Linked DNA regions of Arabidopsis thaliana. The main gene of each other region encodes a partner of the protein of the gene in region 2 in a complex. Each region holds a gene or a part of one and is shown on either strand. Other genes may lie near its edges. The genes, in order: RMI1 and TOP3A.

What was found.
Region 1: TOP3A (region 2) and RMI1 share a complex: the UniProt entries of both Arabidopsis thaliana proteins name them as parts of the RMI complex.

Annotation. Positions count from the first base shown.
Region 1 is NC_003076.8:25,437,628-25,447,739, forward strand, and holds RMI1 (recQ-mediated instability protein (DUF1767)), read right to left. Parts: upstream 6,812-10,112; 5' UTR 6,747-6,811; coding exon 6,213-6,746; intron 6,122-6,212; coding exon 5,951-6,121; intron 5,815-5,950; coding exon 5,669-5,814; intron 5,555-5,668; coding exon 5,456-5,554; intron 5,289-5,455; coding exon 5,134-5,288; intron 4,695-5,133; coding exon 4,171-4,694; intron 4,083-4,170; coding exon 3,972-4,082; intron 3,889-3,971; coding exon 3,757-3,888; intron 3,568-3,756; coding exon 3,406-3,567; 3' UTR 3,156-3,405; downstream 1-3,155. Other genes in the region: AT5G63550 (DEK domain-containing chromatin associated protein), read left to right, coding at 7,178-7,564, 7,646-7,679, 8,187-8,266, 8,424-8,483, 8,570-8,683, 8,766-8,846, 8,917-8,985, 9,223-9,643 and 3 more. UniProt on the Arabidopsis thaliana protein: Essential component of the RMI complex, a complex that plays an important role in the resolution step of homologous recombination, in a process called Holliday Junction dissolution, to limit DNA crossover formation in cells.
Region 2 is NC_003076.8:25,570,866-25,582,992, reverse strand, and holds TOP3A (topoisomerase 3alpha), read right to left. Parts: upstream 8,575-12,127; 5' UTR 8,461-8,574; coding exon 8,164-8,460; intron 7,917-8,163; coding exon 7,738-7,916; intron 7,646-7,737; coding exon 7,573-7,645; intron 7,481-7,572; coding exon 7,358-7,480; intron 7,253-7,357; coding exon 7,131-7,252; intron 7,055-7,130; coding exon 6,982-7,054; intron 6,886-6,981; coding exon 6,766-6,885; intron 6,578-6,765; coding exon 6,494-6,577; intron 6,404-6,493; coding exon 6,224-6,403; intron 6,136-6,223; coding exon 6,007-6,135; intron 5,815-6,006; coding exon 5,740-5,814; intron 5,237-5,739; coding exon 5,147-5,236; intron 5,021-5,146; coding exon 4,916-5,020; intron 4,344-4,915; coding exon 4,309-4,343; intron 4,040-4,308; coding exon 3,910-4,039; intron 3,770-3,909; coding exon 3,717-3,769; intron 3,640-3,716; coding exon 3,540-3,639; intron 3,448-3,539; coding exon 3,409-3,447; intron 3,227-3,408; coding exon 3,148-3,226; intron 3,021-3,147; and 11 more. Other genes in the region: FCLY (farnesylcysteine lyase), read left to right, coding at 8,916-9,449, 9,648-9,821, 9,967-10,326, 10,419-10,594, 10,682-10,940; AT5G63905 (uncharacterized protein), read left to right, coding at 11,490-11,599, 11,732-11,933. UniProt on the Arabidopsis thaliana protein: Releases the supercoiling and torsional tension of DNA introduced during the DNA replication and transcription by transiently cleaving and rejoining one strand of the DNA duplex.

The DNA.
Region 1 (10,112 bases), 130 kb from region 2:
CAAAACTATTAGCCAGAGTAAAAAAGTAGTCATCAACCAAAACATTTGGTTAAGACATGAAGTACTCAAAATTAATCAATCGTTATTTGATCGCAATGGTAAAATCATGGCGTGTACTCTACTAATTTATATTAATGAGATTGTCATATCATTGAATGAGTTTAATCTTGCATAACGTATGTTATCTGACTTATAATGATCGCAATTGTATTTTTGTTTGAAAAGATCTTTAAGTTGGTGCAATTATAGACTGTATAGTTTAGTTTCAGATTTGTAGCTAAAAATTATATGTTCCAGTTATCTTGTGAGTTTATTAAAATTACACCATACACAAATTTTACTTGTTAATATTTTATTAACAGTCTTCTTTTCATACAAAGAGAAAAAGAGAGAAAAAAGTAAAAGAGTGGATGAGTTATGGTATTTATTAATTTGTTGGTCCATTTTCTTCTTCTTTCTGTTAACCTTTGGGACCATGCCTACAACAATGTCGAAATCATGTTGACACGTAGAGACGCATACATATACGTTTCAAATAACGTCTTGTTTGCATGTACGTATACGTATAAACGTAGAGATAACTAATAGTTTTATGTATACGTAACCGACGCAATTGTAGTTGCATACTTGCATATAACAAACAAATTAATGGCCACCAGGCATGCTTCGGTTGATTTCTTTGAGAACACTTGTTGCATCAACGAGATAATGTCTTTAATAAAATCGATATTCAAAAAAGAATCAGTAATCGCTATATTCCCTAGCATTCTTAACAGTGTCTATCATTCAAAATCTTACTCTTTAAATGTTAGTAGTTTAGTCGATTCGAAAAATATGTGTATCATTTGGAAAAAAAGTAACAAATCCGTTTTGACCGCTAATCCAAATATATCTACTGACAAAAAGTTACAATTTTTTCTGTTGTAGAAAAAGAATGATAATAACAACGTTGTTATCATATTGAGACACTTGACCGGTTATCATTAAACTAGTTTAGGTTTGATTGCGACCGAACCGTATTTGAATCGACCATTTAACCCGATCACTAAAAGTGTTGGGACCATCACTATCTTTTTGATACATTTACCGGAATTTCATAAAACTCTAAAACTAGTTTATACATCGATCCCCATTACCAATAATTTGTTTCAATTATTTTCCGACTTTTAATTTTGGCGCCAACTGCCAAGCAAATAATATATTCTCCTCTCATTGTCAACTTATACGTATAATTCTTATCATTATTTCTTCAAATTTATCCCATTCTATTTGGACTACGACTCTGGTATTATTTAATTTGTTCGCATTACATTCTCTATATTTTGAGAATAAATATTTATATATAACGAGCCATTCACGCATCAAAAGATCTGCACGACTGAACCATACTGAAGATTTTAATCCAAAATCTATAATGTTTTAGATTACAAGGTTTTGACCTTAGATGATAAACTTGATGGATGCATATATAGAACAACTTAGATAGTTAGATTAGATAAAAAAAGCCAACCTTTAGATCTTGACATTTAGCCGTCTCACATTTTCGAGATAAGATCAGAAAATGAAAAGTATAAAGACGTACGTAATCCTATAAAGCATTATTATTATTTTCCTTTGTATTATCTGGCTTTTAATTATGTTTGCAAACTACAAATGAATTTTGATTAATACAATAGATTTTAACATGCAAATGTAAACACAAAAAAAAAGAAGCCGAAAGGCTAACGTACACACAGAAAAAGTATGTAGGCCCATAATATAGAAAACTATAGAAGATGATGTTATACCACAATTTGTTTGTTAAAGTCTACTCAGTTAACGAGTTCAATATGTGAATACTAATAAACGCAGCAGTGCACAATAATGCAGAAATGTAGGTCTTGTGACAGAAGAAAACAAATCATATAAATTTATCTGTCGAAAATGATAACATGATTTCGATTTTTATCAAGAATTTTGTTGAGATTTAGACATGAGCCAAAATCTTTAGAACAATCATTAATATAATACTTTTGAAATAAAGAAAGTAAACTTTTTCTAACAAAAGAAATTTTGATAAGAAAGTTCTTTAAATCCCATCACTTAGTGGGTGTAAAGGCAAAGAAGCATAGATAGATCATATGGATGGCTGAAGATGACCTAGTAGTGTGTGCTACGATGTAGCATTACACATAGAGGGCAAATTTCTTTATTCTTTTTACTCGTTTCAACTTTCAAAGTATTTATTTTATGTCTAATGGCCCAAATGGTCCATATTTAAATGGCCTCTTTATCTCGATGTAACCTGACTTCGGAAGAAACTAGTGTACAACAATTAGTTAGGCATCATCAAACGTTTGGAGTAGATTAGTCGAAGAATAACATGCTTTTTCTTGTTATTCTTTTTAATATTTATTTCATTAAAAATCATAAATATGGCATTTAGGCAAGAAAAATCTTTGGACATATTCATTTACCGATTTGATTAATCGGGACCCCATATGATTTTGCCTACTATATATAGGACCAATATCTAAAATCTGAAACGTTAATTTTTAGAACAGAAGAAAAACGAATGGATGACTTTGTTGTATTTTTGTGTCAAAAAAAAAAAAAAAAAGGCTTTACTGTATTTTAAAAGGAAACTACCGAAAGAACATTACACTGTATTTTTTCCTAACCAAACAAGACTCGAGTTAAAAATTCGATCGGCCAGGAAAAAAAAAGAAAAAGACTCGACAACACTCAAATCAAACAAAACTTTTCAATTCCCGACCCTTGTATTTTTCGACAATCGTTGAATATGCGTCATCAAATCAAATTGAAAAAGATGTATAAAACCGGAAATCTATCGGCACTAAATAAAAACCGGAAATACTTTTACAAACTTTTTAATTATATATATCAATTATTTTTTAAATTGGTATTATTATTCTTTAAAACATAAAACGACGTCGTTTACAACTTAATAAAACTGTTAACGTTGACTTGAATCTGTTAAATTGACCTGTCAGTTAACTTAACAACGTGTCTTATTTGGTCGAGTCAATAAAAATTAAAGATTTAATTGGAAAATCAACTAAAATTGAGAATTTAATTCACCAAACCCAAAGTTGATACTTTATTTCACCATTTTTAGTAAACTGATGATTTTCTTGACATTTTTCTTATATAATAACCTTTGTTTTTTTATTTTTCTGTTCAGCAATAATAACATTTGTTTTATTATCTTAAAATACAAGTTCATAAGAAAACTTTACAACACCTAATCTACTTTTTGACTTTAAAATTACTTAAAAATGCAGAACTGGAATCACCAAAGGTAAAATACTCGGTTTAGTTGAACCAGGAGGAAGTAATACCTAAGCAGGTATAGATGACGTTGAGTCTTCACACTGTTTCACAAGCTTTTAGTTGAGTACTGGATCAAGGGGACAGAACAACAACTGGATTTAAGCTTGAGGATGTTCTTGAAGAAGATTTGATTCTGTCCAAGAGTAACCGAGCATCGGTTAGCGAACATCCCTGATTCATTTCGATAGCTACTGGATATTGCGACGATCTGTTCATTTCTACCACCATTATTCCCTGCAGTAACATAAAAATGAACATTTTGAAAAAAACTAGTCTTCCGAAGTATGGTCTTCATATCCAGTCCTAAGCCTAGTTTCTAGATTCAACTTATGTCTGAAAGTAACTTATGTTTGATGTATCTGATCATATAACAAAGACAGTCTAAAACTGATATGTTAGGAAACACAAGTTAGCAGGTTTTACCTCAAAGTCAGCGAGAAACAACTGGAAGCGTTTCAGTTTCTCTTTCATCATGGCATTTAGTGATGTTGGAGCTGACGAGGAAAGAGCAGCTGTGACTTCCATGGATGAATGTCCTATCCTTTTTTGTACAACCTGCAGAGGGGATGACATGGACCTGATGGGTGATCTTCATTCTAATACATCAAATTCATTGCGAAATGAGGGATGGGACTCACGTCGTTATGGAGCAAAATCTCACAGATGAGACTACCATCATCAACATAGCATAGAAGCTCATACGTAGACTGTTGCTTGAACTGGAATTTCTTCACTCCAGTTAGAAAGCACTGCAAAAAATGAATACTTTAATAACAAGAGTTGAAATCATCATTGATTGAAGACTGAGAGTGCTTTAATTAGTGGTGTTAGTAGTACCTTGATCCTTCCTTGAACAAAATGTATGGTATCTTTCATAACTGCCCATTTTTGAGACAACTCGGCTAAGTATGTGAAAGGTTTCTCTGTATTTGTAGACAGCACAGAAGGGCCTTCCAAATCGACAACCATATTACTGAATTCTGCTGCTACACCGCCTGAATCTGAACCATATATATGAGTCGTTGTATCCCTTACACGACCAGTGTCAATATGCATTTCTTCAACAAATGAAGTCACGTTAGATGTTTGATCCAATGAATTTCCGCCAACGTTGTTGGCAAAAGATCTTGCACCACTGCAGGCACCACTGCAGCTAGTACCAGTACCAGCTGTGGATGCTGCTCGGTGAATGTTACTAGAAGTTGAATGTATATCAGAAAACGTTCTTTCCCCGTGCGCAGAAGCAGTATCAATCTGCATATGCTCAACCCTTGAAACAGTAGCTCCCACATTGGTAGAAGCAAGAGGTTCATCCATCGCCCGTGAACTATTGTGAGTTCTCGTTACATGTACGGGTATGCCTGCCATAAGTGGTTTGTTCAAAAGAGAGTTAATAGCCACTAATAATCTCAAAAGAAAGTGGTCATCTCACGTTCCAGAAAGTATTCAAGGACAGACATCATTTTCTCAGAAAGACACCAAAAACGTTTTTAATGTTGTAACTCGGCTATGGTGAAGTAAGAAAAGATCATAGGAAACACAGAACGAACCATGATTGTGCTCTAGTATGTTATAATTTATGATAATAAGCTAAAAAATGGGAATAGTCTGTTTCCTTTGATTCAAAATCTTCACTTATCCACTTTCCTGTGATGGAACAAATAATTACTCTGGTTCAGGGTTGACAGTAATGAACACTTTGACTAGTTTTGTGAACTCTACTTTTGAAACATGCAGCTACTCTTTTTGTTGACATGTAATTTTTTCTGAACAAGAAGATTAATGTAGAAACTCCCCTACCTTGATTGGCTTGAGTGTGACTAGCATTGCCCGAGGCAGAACTATTTACATGATTACCAGTATCATGTACATGATTACCAGTATCATTGCCATTTAGCGACCACGCAGCTAGAGTTGCTCTGGTTGTTAAAGAAGGAACCACTCCTACCCTTGTTCTGCAAAAGTTAAAATCAAATAAAAACTTTGACAAGAAGGGTAAAATTTACAACTGCAAATAGAAAAGACAGTTAGTAGTATGTATGTTATAAACTGTTTTAACGCGATAAAATGCAACATCTTTCAACAGAAACCAATCCAAATGCAGAATTCACTAAACGAGTACATTGTCAGGCATACTCCAAACCAGTCTCTATTCTCAAGATCAAAGAAGCTGTAGCCAAAGAAATCGGTGAAACACACTGGTTGCAAATAATCTTTCCAACTGAAGAGACATACATCATGACACAAATTTCGAATATGAAGTGAGGGGGAGAAACAAAAGCTGGAGAAATATCGAATTTTGAACAATGTAAACCAATCTTTGAATAAATCTAACCTTTTTCCTCTTGGAGGTTTGTTTACTTCAACAACCAGACGCTTTCGTGCTTCTTCTAGTTCTTCAACCATCCCTCCTAAAACTTCTACAATCTCAGGTACTAGCATTAAAAGCCCATGCCGAACTTGTACACTAGATACAACAATCTGCATTTAGCTGTTCTAGTCAGTACTTGTACTAAAAACACAGACATGTATAAATAATCTTAAAGGCTGTACAATGGCCTTAGAACAAATATTCATACAATTTTCACAACTACAATCCTCAACAAGAAACACACACCTTTAAACCAGCAGGAGCCAAGACTTGAAGATCTTTAATAGGCCTGTATTCCATACCAAAAACGCGTTGAACACCATCTGTCATAGACAGCTTAAGGCACCTCTTAAGCCCTGCATTAGCATTCTCATACCTCCCTTTGAGTGGGCAGCCAATGTTAACAATCTCATCAACCTAAATTTGAAAAATTTAAGCAAAAATGTTCAGCCAAAATCACACATTGCGCAATTATATATACAGTGTAAAAACCAAACAATCAAATAACCTGCAGAACAAACGGACCAGCGAGTTCTATACGATTCATAGACGCAACGTTCGGAGGAAGAACACCACCTCCGCATAAATTCATATCGAAAAACATAAACTGCTCGAAGCAATGCTTAGCTTTAGCTGCAACATCGAGGTAGGAAAATTGTGGAATTGAAGTTTCAAGTCCTGAAAGACAAGATACCCACCACTCCCTCTTCAATTTAATCCCCATTCGAGAAAGAACCTCACTGATCGGCGATTCATAGTCATTGCCGCTCACTGACTCCGACGGATAAACCGGATACGGTGTAGGAATACTAGAATCCGGCGGTGTAGGCTGGGGATTACCAAAAACGTCGATAATCTCAACTTCCGATATAGCGATTCTCTCACCGGGATTAGGGTTAGAATTCGACGATACTGAGGTTTCCGGTTGTATAGATGAAGCAATACCAAAGCTCTGAACAGAATCACCAACTCCGCTTGTTCCAGTTTCATCTTCTTCTTCTTCGTCGGAGGAGTACCGGAGTTGCAGGCGCCGTCTACGCATTTCTTCGCCGGCGAAATTTAGGGAATTTTATTGGTTTTCCCTCCAAAATCAATTTTCTATTTTGCTTTTTTTTTTGAAAAAGTTTGTTTAGAAGCCAGAACGCAATTGGGCTCATTAGGAGGAAAATGGGGCCTGTTATAAAATTGGGCCGAGTTTTGTTGTATGTATGTATATGTGTATGTATATAAATTTGGGTTTAGTTTTGCCGCGAGCTGAATTTGGTGAAAATATTTGGGGGTGACGAAAAGAGCCCGCCTTTGTGTTCTAATTTTTGGTACCAGAATTTTTGAAAATCCCCAAATTTTTTTGTTTCTCTTCTTCATAATCGTTGAATTAGGGTTTTACAATTTCGAGTTTCCCCAAATCTGAAATTTGAGTTTTTTTTTTTCTTGACTTTTCACGTTTTGATTCGCCTGTTGTTTGGGTTTGAAATGGCGACTGAAACCCTAGATGAGAAGACACCGGAAGTGAATTCTCCGGCGAAGGAGGAAATTGATGTTGTTCCGAAGGAGGAGAAGGAGGTAGAGAAAGAAAAAGTGGATTCGCCGAGAATTGGCGAAGCGGAGGAGGAGAAGAAGGAAGATGAAGAAGAGGGTGAAGCGAAAGAAGGAGAATTGGGTGAGAAAGATAAAGAAGACGATGTAGAAAGTGAGGAGGAAGAAGAAGAAGAAGAAGGAAGTGGAAGTAAGAAATCGTCGGAGAAGGAAACGGTGACTCCGACTAGTGAGAGACCAACGAGGGAGAGAAAGAAGGTTGAGCGTTTCTCGTTGTCGACTCCTATGCGGGCTCCACCGAGCAAGTCCGTTTCAATTGAAAAGGTAGCTTGATGGAACTTTTGTTTGTCTTTCTTATTTGTCTTTATGAGAATTGGATCAATTAGTTATGGTTTTTTGTTGTAGGGTCGTGGAACACCTCTCAGAGAAATTCCAAATGGTATGTATGAGAATCAATTTCGATTTGTGGTTGTTTTGATTGAAGTCTTGTGAATTTGTGATGTGTAGATCTAATTGTTGTTAATCAGAACGATGAACAATCTTGGCTGGTTGGCACATCTTAGATCTAGAAGATGAGATAGCTATTGTGAGATTTTTCCTGTCTGTGTTGGCATGATTATAGATAGAACCATTTCATTAGAAAAGCTTGGGCTTTTGGTCTACTTGGATACTATTACTTCTACCAATTTGATACCTATAGTCTGACTTTCTGATGGAATATCACTATTAGTCTATTAACTTGCTGTCTGTGATTTGCTTAATTTTGCTGTGGAGAAATACTCATACTCTGCACTGTTGTTGATAAGAAGATGAGATTTTTTTTTTCTTTCTTTCTTTCTCTTGTTTGTTTGTTTAGCTTGAGGGTGAAAATTTTAGTTATTTTGATAAAGACTTGTTTACATTTATTTTTGATTAGAAAGTTGTCTGATAATTTTTGCTGTTTCAGTGGCTCATAAACTATCGAAGAGAAAAGCTGATGACAACCTGATGTTACTACACACCATTCTTTTTGGGAAGAAAGCAAAGGTGCGCTAAAAGTTGCTCTTATATTCCACATATGGTAGTTATGTTTCACTTGCAAGCTTCTGTCTCTGTTAGTATGGATGTCGTCTCGGAATTTTCATTGTTTCTTTGCCAGAGTGCATAGCTACTTAAAAAGCGTTTTGTGAAAATTTCTCTACAGGCACAGATGGTTAAGAGAAACATTGGTCAATTTTCTGGCTTTGCCTGGTCAGAGAAAGAGGTATAACCCATTTCAAGTTTATTTTGTTACAGGGATGTGTATGCTGTTGTCCCTGGTGTTGAAACTTTTATTTAAATGTTTCTTAGGAGGAGAAGCAGAGAGCACGAATAAAAGAGAAGATTGACAAATGCGTAAAAGAAAAATTGATTGTTTTTTGTGATGTGCTTGATATCCCTATAAGCAGAAGTAACGTGAAAAAAGTAAGTGATAAGAAGATGTAGTCTATCTATTTATTGCACCTTGTTCTATATTCTAAGAAATCCTCTATCCTGATACTGCCAGGAAGAACTAGCTGTCAAAGTGCTTGAATTTTTGGAATCTCCCAAGGAAACTAGAGATGTTATAATTGCTGATCAAGAAAAGGTATTATTGGAATCAGTACATTATTGTTCTACATGTTCATTCTCAATGGGAGCACTGAATTCATTTTTAGCAGGCGAAAAAGCGCAAGAGTACACCAAAAAGGGGGAAATCTGGAGAATCTTCGGACACCCCTGCCAAGGTTTGTACTTTGTTATTATCTCAATTCTCTTATTTGCATTCATTGCCTGCTACTGGCGCCTTTATAGCTTGTTTTTCTTTTATTTTCCTCATATGACTGGTGTGAATTTTGATTTTAAATGTTTGGTTGGATTACCGTCATTCGCATGAATTATTATATGCTTTCTCATCTATGTGACTTGATTTATTAGTTGTTGACCATGGGTTGTACAAATATCCCTGTTTTGTTACTACGCAGAGGAAAAGGCAAACTAAAAAGCGAGATCTTCCATCTGACACGGAAGAAGGCAAGGATGAGGGAGATGCTGACTCTGAAGGAACTAATGATCCTCATGAAGAAGATGATGCAGCGCCAGAGGAAGAAAGTGACCATGAAAAGACTGACACTGACGATGAGAAAGATGAAGTAGAGGTTGAGAAACCATCCAAGAAGAAAAGCTCATCGAAAAAGACTGTAGAGGAGAGTTCAGGGTCCAAAGGTAAGGATAAGCAACCTTCTGCCAAAGGTTCTGCAAGATCTGGGGAAAAGTCCTCCAAACAAATTGCTAAGTCAACTTCATCCCCAGCTAAGAAGCAAAAAGTTGATCACGTTGAGTCTTCTAAAGAGAAAAGCAAGAAACAGCCGAGTAAGCCACAGGCTAAGGGATCTAAAGAGAAAGGTTAGAACCATTCTCAGCTGCTTCTGAGGCTTAGCCTCGTTCGATTTATGTTTTATATGAAATCATCCTATTTGTTTTTGAAGCTGATTATTTATATTTGTTCTCCTCTATCATGGATTGGAAACAGGAAAAGCCACTAAGAAAGGCAAAGCCAAAGCAGAGCCCACCAGAAAAGAGATGCTTGAAGTGGTGTCCAAAATTCTGAAGGAAGTAGACTTCAATACGGTAAGATGGTTTGATTTTCCCAAGTCCAAATACAATGTAATGGTTTAAAAAACTTGAATAGATGTTCTCATACACTTTTTTTTTCTTAATAACAGGCAACACTATCAGATATTCTGCAGAAGCTAAGTATGTTATTGGATTTTGCTTTTATTATCTATTTCGCAATTCAAATGTACAAGGAGCTTTTTGGTAACATATGCTGTTTGTGATAACGTCAGGTGACCATTTTGGTGTCGAGCTGTCG
Region 2 (12,127 bases):
GAAGCCCTTAAATCTTCATTAGAAGACATCAAACAAGATGTAATCATGTCTGCAAAAACCTCACTTTGTACATCTCTTAAAGACTACATACCATAAAACCATCCAAAAAAACTCAAATCATGTAGCATAACAAGCATATTTGAAAGAAGAATACAGGCCCTACTAAACTATGGATCTGGATCCAAGACACATAGCTATGAAAATTCTAGGCAAGAAAACAACCTTTGAAACTGGTTTCAGGAAAGGAAAAAGAGAGAATAGAAGAGGTGCAGACCTTTTTTTCTTCTTTCCAGGAAAACAATATAAAAAGGAAATGGTCAAGCTATGATTAGTTTTTTGATCATTGAAAGCTTTGAAGTTTGAAATTTGTTCATTAAAAAAGTCTTCTATTAGTACTGGCCTGTCTTTTAATATTAGTTTCAGAAGCCTATCAGCTTTGCTTTTGTTTATTTCAAGTAAAAAAGAAACTCAATATTCGTTTTGTCTTTGAAGCAACAAATAAAGTAAGCCATGAATTAGTCAAAGTGAGAACTACAAGGCTTAAAAATGATGGTCCTTTTTGTAACTTTGAAGCTATAATAGACTCTAAGTACTCAAATCAACAAGATAGAGATGGCCGACATGGCATGAGAACTTGGCTTTCCTCATTCTCTCACGACCTCAATTTCGTGCATTATTATTCTATTGTAAAGTATCAATTATACTCCAAGCAAAACAGTTGTTTTAATCTTCTATATACAGACGACAACCAAGATAACAACTGGAGAAGGGACAACAAGCTCGACTATAAGTTATAGTCCAAGGACAAATGCTTCGAGAAGCTTGTCAATTTTGAGACCAAACTTCAGTCTTGTAATGAGACTACTAAGAAGAGGCAATGATAAGTACCCACTTGATCATTCACAGCAAGATACCTAATTGACTGTTCAATATACCGAACCAAGCTATACAAATTCCAAGATTAGTATGAAAAGTACCTCAAGTGGCTACAACAACTCCTTCGATGAGGAATGTAAGAAGAAACGCGTTCTTGTTCCACAGGAGACGGCCTAATCAGTAATCACCTCTCTCTCTCTTTTTTTCCCTTTCATAGTTGCCGAAGAAAATGACCCGAATCCTACGCCGGAGAAGCTCGCCGGATCCTCTGTTATCTCAATTTCGATTTGAGAATTTTAAATCTTTTATGTTCAAAATGGACTGAAAATTGGTGTGCCGTTTTTAAACAACAAAACGGCGTTTATTCCGGTTGTTGTGTCGTTTTCTTACAGAGCAAAACGACTGTGGTTTGTGTTATTAACAGTTGTTAATATCTATTACTTGACCATCTCTAAAAACAAATTCGGAGGACTAAACTTTGTAGCTTAAGCATTTTGTTAATATCTATTACTTGACCATGTCTAGACTCAAGATCAATGGCATATACATAGTGATATAGTTGATGTATGAATTATGAATTATGAGACAATACAAAAAAAATGATGAAATATGGATCCACATTAGCTCACTAAGAACATAACTAAAAATTAAAAACGACTATTCAAGATTTATAAATAAAATAGGTGGAAACTATTCAGTGATTCAGAATAGCACGTGAAATATTATATTTAAAATATCCAGCTAACAGTGATCTACGCAAATTAGGATGAATTCCAGAGAAAAAGTGGTCATAAAATAAAATAAAATAAAATACAAAAACCCAAATTAAGTTAGTAGCACTAATTAATCATGCTACATACATAGTCAAAGTTCGTAGTAAGTAGACTTAGAAATAGTTACCGTTAGAGTTATTACGATTAGGACAAGCGTTAGCAAAATGTGAAGGATCGCCACATGAGAAGCACCTTATACCACTCACTGGCTCTCCAGTTGCAGAGACAAAGCTTGTTCCAGAGCCGCGTCGTCCTCCACTGCTTTGGCCGCCTCTACCTCCACGGCCACGACCACGGCTGCCACGTCTACCGCTCCCGCCGCTATTAGACCCTGTTGTTGCATTCCCACTACTGTTGTTTATGCTATCTTCCCATCTGTTTACAAGCAGTGCAAACAAAAAACTGATGTGTTGAGTGATGTAAAAGGAAAAAAAAATGGATTATGCGAAGAAATTGGGGTAAAACCAGACTCTTACGCAAAGAAACTGCAGCCTTGTGTTGGACATGAGAAGAATTGTCTTCCCCTGTTAGCTTCTGTGTTGGCTGTACGAAGAACACATTGTGATCCACAAGTGTTACATGATACTGTACTTTCATCTGCATTATAACCAACAATACTAGAATATAAATTACATGTCAATAAGGAAGACTTGGTCTGGACAATTTGCTTGAATTTTGACTAGTATATAGTACATACTAGCAAAAGCTAATCGATGATCTTTGTTTGCTAAACTATTATACAAGGATCAGTACCGTTTCTCGGATTTGTTGCAGTAGGACGAGAATTTCGAGATGCTGGAACCCGTGAGGGACAATTCGTGGAAGCATGTCCTCGTTGCTGACAATGTATGCAGACATTACTCTGTCTTGTGTTGCTTCCTTGGATATTGTTTGACGGTGCAGTACCTGGAGTTCTCCTTGCTGCAAGAACAAATCATTGATTCTTTTTAGCCTAAATGTTCTCTATTCGCAAGACACTATACTAAAGTTCTTGCATTCTCATTTAGGACAGAAGATGATGAAAGAAAGATTGTATGATGTCTAATACAAAGGTATATGTATTGCGTAACAACAAAGCACTAACCTTGAGAACGGGATCCAGTTCCACAGATGTCTATCAACTGTTTAAGAATGTCATCACAGCCACCCACGCAACCTGATCACAACATTACCATAGGACATATTAGAAGAAGTCACGATGAAATTGGCACGGTGGCTGTGATGACATTAAAATCAAAGCCTGGTAAAAAAATCAAAGCCTGGTAAACAAGAAAACAAATTGGCTGCAATTTTTTTTACCTAAGTGATTAACATCAAAGCCTGGTGGAATTCCAATTTGACGGAACTTGAAAAGTATCTTGTAGACCGGGCCTACAGAAAGAGAAAGGCACCATTTAATAATAAAGACAGAAAGACACATGTACACGCTGTGTCATCCAAGTGTAATTTAGTTTTTGAAATTCAATTCACTGTTATACTGGAGAATCTGTGGCTATACCTGGACCACAGGATTGACAAACATTAGTAGTGACAGATGCTTCCAATGTCGGTCCAGGAAGCCAGACTGCATTCCGACACTAGAGAAAGGAAAATGTGTGAAATTAATATAATAGATGTAAGCAAGGAAGCATAAACGAAGAAATACTGAAATGTCAAATGATTAGATCATAATCTTCAGAAATAAGGTTACAATACAGAGAGCAAAAAGTTTAAATTTCCAACAATATATATGGTATGTAAAGAGCGGTGAAATTCTGACCTGAGGATAATTCATGCACCCAACCATGAAATTGCCATCCTGCAAAGAAAGGGAATAGAACGTTTAACCTGTGGTTCCCATTAACAATAGGGAGAACAGAGAAAATTTTGTTCAGACAGAATATATGATACCCGGTTCTTCCTGAGTGCCATATCTGATTCATTGCAGAGATTGCATCGTCGGACAACTTCACCAGCTGTCTGACTTTCACTCTCATCAGTGTTATTAGATCTGCACATGCAGTATCATATTATATTACGAAGAAATAGACTTCAGCTACACAGTACTGAACAAAGTAACGAGACTACCTTTCAAAGAAAATTGTCATTGCTTCTAGGAGCTTTGATTTTTTTACTCTTGCCTGCGAGAATTAAATTTGTGAATGACAATTAGAAAAACACGGCATTCAGTTCCAGCCTACTGTGTTAGCAGCACCTTCAGCAATAACAGATTTGGCCACAGAGAGAAGACAAAAAGTCTAATAAAAAACAGCTGACTCACATCTAAGAAACAAGCTTTCATTTGCTGCAAACATGTTTCAAGAACTTCAGCTTTGGTCTTCCTGCCAACGCTAACTTCATTCATATCATGTTCCATAAGGGCTCTGAGATTTGGTTTCCAAAGTTCATACCTGAGAGAAAAACGTCAAAAGATTGGCAACAAGAAGACTGACAGACATCAAAGTCTTAGAGGGCTCTTCAAAAGGGGCTTGATACAAATGAGGTCTCTCCAAATAGATAGGCTCTTAACATAAAAATATAAATTCTTTAATCAGTTTACTCTGATTAGAAGGGAAATATGATTGAAAGCCACAAATATATAATGATATATGAAGGAGGCTCTAAGTTTTTTGAAACGTAAGGAAAATTTGTAGTACATCACATGCAGTCTTATACATACCCCATGTCATCATATCCCATCACAAGCGCCTCACCCTGAAATGAAATCAGTACAGTAAGCTAACTTCAGAAACGCTGAACAGACATATAAGGGCTAAGAACATATATATCAAATTATCCCAGGGAGAGTAGTCTTGCTATAACTCCAGTTAATAAAGTTAATTTAGATGTTTTATACACTTAAGAGTTCAGACAATACTACCACTATATATAGATACACAGTTTTGCTATAACCAGATAAAGTTCATAAAGATGTTTTTATAGTCTAGAGACCAGAAAACGTAACCAATATATGTCTAGGCTGAAGTTTGAGATAAAAGTATATTTTCCAAGGATAATCATTATGTTATGTTATGCAACCTTATAGCTAATGAAAGATCCTGGGAAGCTACAGGTATGATGTTGGTCTAGTAAACAAACTTATATATGGTCACAAGCAGTTCCTGATTCTAACGTGTAGGCGTTATTAACGCCCAAAAGCAGTTGTAACCCTAATCTTCATGCTGCCATAATTCTACACTCTAAAGATTAAAATAAATATACAGAGTATAGAAATAAAAAAAAGACAAAGGGAAAAATTCATAAAGCTTATGTATCATATCAGCTACCAGGTTGGTTGGAGAAAACCGTGTATTAGCATCCTTTGTTGCATAACCCCGATCAAGGAGTTTCTTTATGTGGTCGTGCATTGTCGCATCGGTGCCAATGCCTGCCTAACATTCACAAAAGGTAGGATAATAAAGAGTTACAAACATAATCGGATGATAAGTAGGGGTAGGTGAACAAGAGTATGCAAACACCACCACGAAAGGAAGGGGAAACAAGAAAATTTTAAAAACCTTGTCCATACAACTCAGTAAGTCAGCTTCACACAATAGTGGTGGTGGCCTTGTTACAGCTGCATCGAGAGTCAAAGTTGTTGGGATAAACTGCACATTACCAAGAAATTCAGAAATGTCATTGATTGTCCCTGCTGTAAGAACTAAGCAGTACGGTATTACAGAACAAATCCAAGAAGTGAATGTGAATCAGAAATTTTAGCAGTTAGACAGGCTCCTGTTTGGGGAAAAAATGTAAGCCACTTAAATAAGCCCCATTATGTCTCAGGAAGAGTCCAGTAGATTTAAACATATAAGACTGTCAGGATTTGACTAGAAAGCCAGCTCCCTGGGCACAGTTTTATGCCAATAAACAAGCAGCCTCGTCCATACAGATAAAGCAAACTGTGTTTGGTTCTCCAAATTTGTAGCAATTACTATTTGTTTGGGCCACTTTAATAATAATCATGACACCAGTTTTTGAACTAGAAACTACAATGCAAAGTTATGCCGTTCAATTGCATTATAGTTTAGTAGTTAAGTAATGTAACTTATAAGCAAGGACAAAGTAGTTTATTCAAAAGAGGATTAGCTGAGATATAGAAATAAACAACCTGCTGCCCTTTTTCATACACGGGAATCACTGAACCACCCCATGATTCAAAGCGGTACACCTCAAGGTAATTTTTCTAGTCACACAAAGAAAATTAGGTCAGTATCAAATTATTTATTGAAGGGAAAGTAAGCAATATATATGCTTGCAACAAAGAGCAGCTTTACATTTTATACTACCAAAACAGGAAACATCTAATCAATCAAAGTAGTTTCACATTTTATTCCACAGAAATTACGACAAAAAAGTAGAGAGTGAAGAGTCTTACGGCTAATATTGCTCTCCCAGATGCAGAAAAGCGCTCACCAGCGATATCAATCTCGACTGTAGTTTCAGCAGCAACTGCTGGCTGGGAAACACATGCTAGGTAATGGCGGACAACTAGCTCATATACATTCTGAAATAGTGGAAAAGAATGTTGGCTCCAACGTAGAAACATATACCTATGCTCGGGTATGTTAAACCAAACTGACAGCCATACTTACAAGGTGATCTCTGCTCCAGTTAGACTCTCCGCTAGAAAACTTTGTTGGGTGAATGGGTGGGTGAGCCTTGTCATCATGACCACCATTAGCAGGGTTTCTCCAGAGGCCCCCCTCAGGTTCTAATAATCTTTGTGCATATGATCCCCATGCAGGATGTCTTGTTTGTTCCTCCACCATAGCCTACACACAACTAGAGATCCTAAGAGACTATCAAAGGAAATGATAAAGTCCAAACTAACCTTACTGGCTCATGAGAAAAAAGTTACTTACACGTAAATCTGTCCTGCTCGAAAAAGAATCGGTCTCCGTACGAGGATAGCTGATGAAACCAGCCTGATATAATTCTTCTGCCACCTGTCCAGACATTTTTGATGTCATTTAACAAAAGAGAGATGTAATTGTAATTCAAAGACATATCAGCCTATACGACAGCATAAAACTCTACCAAGAGAGAACAGAATTTAGATTATGTTGAACATGCAATCCTAATAGGCCAAAGAATCATAGAAAGTATCTTAACCAATCTAAATACTCATTCAGACCTTCATGGTGTGCTCTGAACTCAGACGGAAATATCTTGAAGCACGTTTTTCAAGTTCAATCGTGTTCAAAGGATAAGGAGGATACTTGAATCGTTCCCTTGGATGTGGGACATTCATTACCTGGATGGAGATTATAAAGTAAATACACAATGTTAACTAGAGATGGAGTGTCAGATGATATAATTCCGTCTGATAAGATGTTTCTTTTTTACTCACAGTGGCAGTAGGTTCCTCAACGCACATCTCATATAATATGACAGCTGAAGCATAATCGAAGAGATGACCACGCCTGCAATAGAAATTATATCAATGTAACTTTCAAGAAGATTGGGAACAACAATAAGGAAGGCAGTTGAAAATCGTACATCCAATTAAAGGTGGCAAGGCCTTCTTCTGATTGGTGAGAACAGTTGATTGTCCAAAACTCTTCTGGTTCATGTGCCTGGATCTCCCAGTATCGCTCGACAATAAAGCCAAGTGTAGGAAACTTCAGTTGAAGCAGAGAAATATCAAATCTAGCTACATTAACTGGCTCTGATATGTAAAATGGGACAGATTGTTCTGAAACTTATCGATACTGGTTTCACATTACCTGACACGGACCATAACTTATAACACGACTCCTCTCCTCACCCGTAGAGTCAATAGCAAACCTATCTCTCAGCAGCATAGTCTGAAATCTAGTGAAAGAAGCACCAATGCGTAGGTCTATTTCCTAAAGTTTTCGAAAAAAACATTAGCTAATACAAATTCGGTAGGAAATACTGCTAACACATAAACAGAAGAGGGATTTCAGGAGAAACTCACTTGTCTAGCATCTACAGCCTCAGCAAACAATTGATTAGGATCTCTAAGATTCTGAACTGCTTCATGAATATCCCTAGCAATTACATCATTGGAATCAGTTCAATCGTTTGAAATAGAGTGCTTAGTAGAAGATATATGAGGAATAACGTGTAAAGCAATCTCTACCTGTCAATTAACGCAGAGAAATGAGCCCTGCGTATAAAAAGATTATGCTTGACAGCTCTGCAAACATCTACAACTTCAAATGCAATGTTTTCACCTTCCCTATCACAATCAAGCCACAGCACAAGCCAGTCGCTTTTCCTTGCCTCCTCCTCCAATGTCTTCTTAATATCCTTTTTGTCCTAATTCACTCAACACCAGAATTAAATAAAACTTGCAAGTCAGAAAACCCCAACTTCATTATAAAGGCGAATCAAAGATCCTAGTCCCGTTTTATACAGTTGCAATTACCAAAACAAATCAGACCCAATCAACAATTCCTAGTTAGAGAAGCAATGACTAAATCAACAACCCAGAACTATACAAAAGCATACAAGTACAATGGGACATTAAATCAATTAGGCGTGCACACACATACAATAGAATTACCTCGGGAACGTGTTTCATGACCGGAGCTTGGTACAGATCTGCCGGGTCGCAGGAGTGCCATTTGCGGTAACGATCGGCGAACTCAAGCTCCATCAGGTGGCCGATGACGGAGGTCATTAGCATACGACACGGCTGCCCATTGATGGCGTAATCGAACTCGAAGATTTTGTTGTACCGAGACCTACCCTCCCGAGTCCGGAAAGTTCCACGGGATAGAATCCCCGCCACTGACTTCGCCACGGACGGCTTCTCCGCCACGTTCAACACTGTCACGGGGCCACCGCCTCGTCGCGACATCGCCGGTAAAGAAAACCCTAACGGTTAGTAATTACGTTTTTTTGTTTTCAGTAGGCGAATTTTCCCGCTCTTATGATATAGCCTAGCTACTATTGGTGGTGTCACTGAGACACTGACCGAACAGTTGTGGAAATTTGTGCCTTTAATGGGCTTCAATAATTCGGTTAAAGTTGATCTCACAATTGAAATTGAATCAAAACCGGACTCGGATCCGGTTAGCTTCTTATGATATATGACTATATGATAAGTATGTTTAAATCGTATAGAATATAGATCTTGAGCTTAATGAGATTAATTCAATTTCTTTAGAACACTTGCAAAATAAATAAATAAAACAAAATAATATTTTTCCTTTATGCACTATAGAGTTAGTCCGATAGGATAAGGGCCCAAGAAGGCCTCATTGATAATTTACAATCGAGAGAGAGAGCGATAAAGTCAACTCGTTGACTAAAATGAAAGATTTCCCGATAGCAATCTCCCTTCTGTTCGCTCTACTATCGCCGGTTCTTCTACCTTGCTCCGGCGATTCCACCGGCGGCGTCGAGGATGATTCTCCAGCGACCGTATGTATCGTCGGGAGTGGGATCGGAGGCTCATCCGTAGCTCACTTCCTCCGTAACTACTCTGTTTCCACCGGCTTAAATCAAGCCAAGATCCTGATGTTTGAGCGTCACGAGATAGTCGGTGGACGCATGAGGACCGTCACTGTCGCCGGTGATACTTTCGAAGCCGGCGGTTCGATTCTCCATCCGAAGAACTACCACGTTAAGGATTTCGTCGAAAGGTTCAATCTGACGGTTCGATTACCGACGCCGATTGAAGAATCTTCAGCGATTGGAATCTGGGATGGGAAGAGATTTGTCGTCAAGACATTCGGTTCCGGTACCAAATTTCCGTTTTTGGATACGATCGTCTCTTGGGTGAATGATCTCTACTTGTTCTTACGTTATGGGTTATCACTGCTGAGAATGAGCAGCTTCATTGAGGTATTTAAATGTAGAACCTTTTGATTTCAGAATTGGCTATCAATTGTTGAACAATGAGTTTGTTGTTGTAAAGTGATTTTAATTTGTTAGCTAGCAATGAGGATGTTTTCGTAACTTGATTTTGCATCTAGGTTTGTGTTTGTGTGTGTGTGTGGATCCTTTTGTATGTTGACTGATGTTGATTTTTTATGTTCGTAGAATACAGTTGATAATTTCTTGAAGTACTATGAAAGCTTAGAGTCAAGACCTATCTTCGACAATGTTGAAGGGATGCTTAAATGGTCAGGCTTGTACAATCTCACAAAGCTCACTCTACAGGAGAAATTATCTGAAGCTCAGCTTTCTCCTTTGTTAGTCAACGAGCTGGTTACGGTAATCTTTCTTACAATACTGTCCTTCAAAGGCCATTTTAATCTCTTCTTTGCTTATATGGTTCAACATATAACTCTTCTCCTTAACAACTTTTGCCAATTATCATCCTATTACAATTTTGAGTGTGTTTATTGTGTTTCTCCAGGTTATTACAAGGATAAACTATGGACAGAGTGTACTCATCAGTGGGTTGGCAGGTGCTGTCTCTTTGGCGGGTTCAGGTGGAGGATTATGGTCTGTTGAAGGTGGAAACTGGCAGATGGCTGCAAAGCTCATTAATCATTCAGATGTTACGTTACACCTGAACGAGAAAATTGAATCCATTTCATATCTCGAAAACCATTACGAGCTTAAATCCACTAAAGGAAACAGCTACAAGTGTGATGTCACAGTAGTTGCCACACCATTAGACGAAGTGGATATTCAGTTCTCACCCACGATCTCAATTCCTAAGAGAGAACTACAACACACGCACACGACATTTGTGAGGGGGCTTTTAAACCCAGTAAGTATCAATCACTGTCTGTAGTTTTAACGTTATCCTGATCATGATTCTGACTCGTAACTAATGTGTGATCATGTTTTCTCTATGAAAAGGGATACTTTGGGATGAAATCGCTTTCAGATGTTCCAGCTTTGGTGGGAACCCTTGAAGATCCTCTAATTCCATTCTCATGCATCTCAATTCTAAGGAAATATAGTAAAACAGATATGACATACAAGATTTTTACGCGACAACCTGCATCAGATTCGTTGCTTGATGAGCTCTTCAGGTAGTTACAACACAATCTCTGTCAGATTTGAAGCACATCTGTTCAGTTTCATTAAAACTGGTTCAATTTCTCTTCTTTCTTAAACAGTAGGAGAACCGAAACCGTTCGAATAGACTGGGGTGCATACCCAAAGTACCACGCGCCTGAAGTTTTCGCACCATTCATATTAGATGACCATCACTTGTACTATGTGAATGCTTTTGAAAACGCGGCAAGCACAATGGAGACAAGTGCAGTGGCTGGTGAGAACATTGCCAGACTCATAATTTCCAGATTCATGACAAAGGAATCATTATCTTCCTCGGACAAAAGAAGCTGTAGTTCTGGTCTGCACTCAGACTCATAAACAACTTTGGTCCCCACATAAACAAGGACTATTGGCTGTGTGTGTTTTGAAGAAGAATATGATGTTTATGTATATAGACACATAAAACAGTTTTGAGTTACTGATTGTGTTTGTTCCTCGTAACCTAAGCTTCTTCTTTTTTTTAATCTTTTTCGAGTTCTTGAATCAGACCATTGGCATTAGCATACAAAAACAAAAACAGAGAAAGTTAAGAATCTTTTAGTACCAAGACAGAGACATAAACAGCTACATAAGTTGATTCAATATTAGATTTTACTACGTAAACAACAGCAAAGTTGTTGATTCAATAGCATTTTATATAAATAAATAAAAAACTTTATTTAGTAGTGCATAAATGATAAAGCAAATTTTCTAATTAGCTTTTGTTGATTAATCGGGTTAATAAATAAATCATTAATGTAAAAGATTTTAATATAAAATAAGAATCCCCAAAAAGAGCTAAATTATTCTGCAGAAGACGCGTCTTCTTTCTTCTTCGGTAAACTTCAAATCAGAAGCGAAGAAGAGATCAAATCAATCTGATCGTAGATGGGTTGTTTCAGTTGCTTCGACGGAACCCAAAAGGAACAGCGTAAGGAAGAAGAGAGACAAGCCTCCGCCGAAGCTCGTGCCAAAGCCGCCGAAGCTGCCCAGCGACGGTTTTTATCTCTTTTCTCTTCGCCTCTATTGAAAAATTGATCCTTCAGGGTTTTAGAATCTTAAATTCCTTTGAAATCCTAAACTTTGAAATTGTAGATATATGGATGTTAATTTTTGGTTTGGTAACGCAGGAAAGAGCAGTTTGATAAGTCTGCAGCTGGAAGAGCTGCACAAGCTCAATTACAACAAATGGCTAAACAATCTGCAAATACTAACAAAGGAGAGCCTGTTCTTAAGGTTTTTAAAACTACTTTCCTCAATTTATGTATCATCATCAAGTTAAAAGTTTGCTTATTCAGCTTTATCTTTGCTATGAATTGCAGTGGCAAATGACGTAGTGATGAGTCCTGGTTTCAAAAGGAATCAATTTGTGCGATTTGGTTCTTTGTAAATTGTGTGTTCTTCAATGTTTGCAATACTTTGGTTATGTGAATTGAAGCTTATTTTCTTCCTTATTCATCTGATTATCTTTTGACTTTTGTAAAACAAAAAAGAAATAACAGAGTACAATGTTAAGATCATCTCTC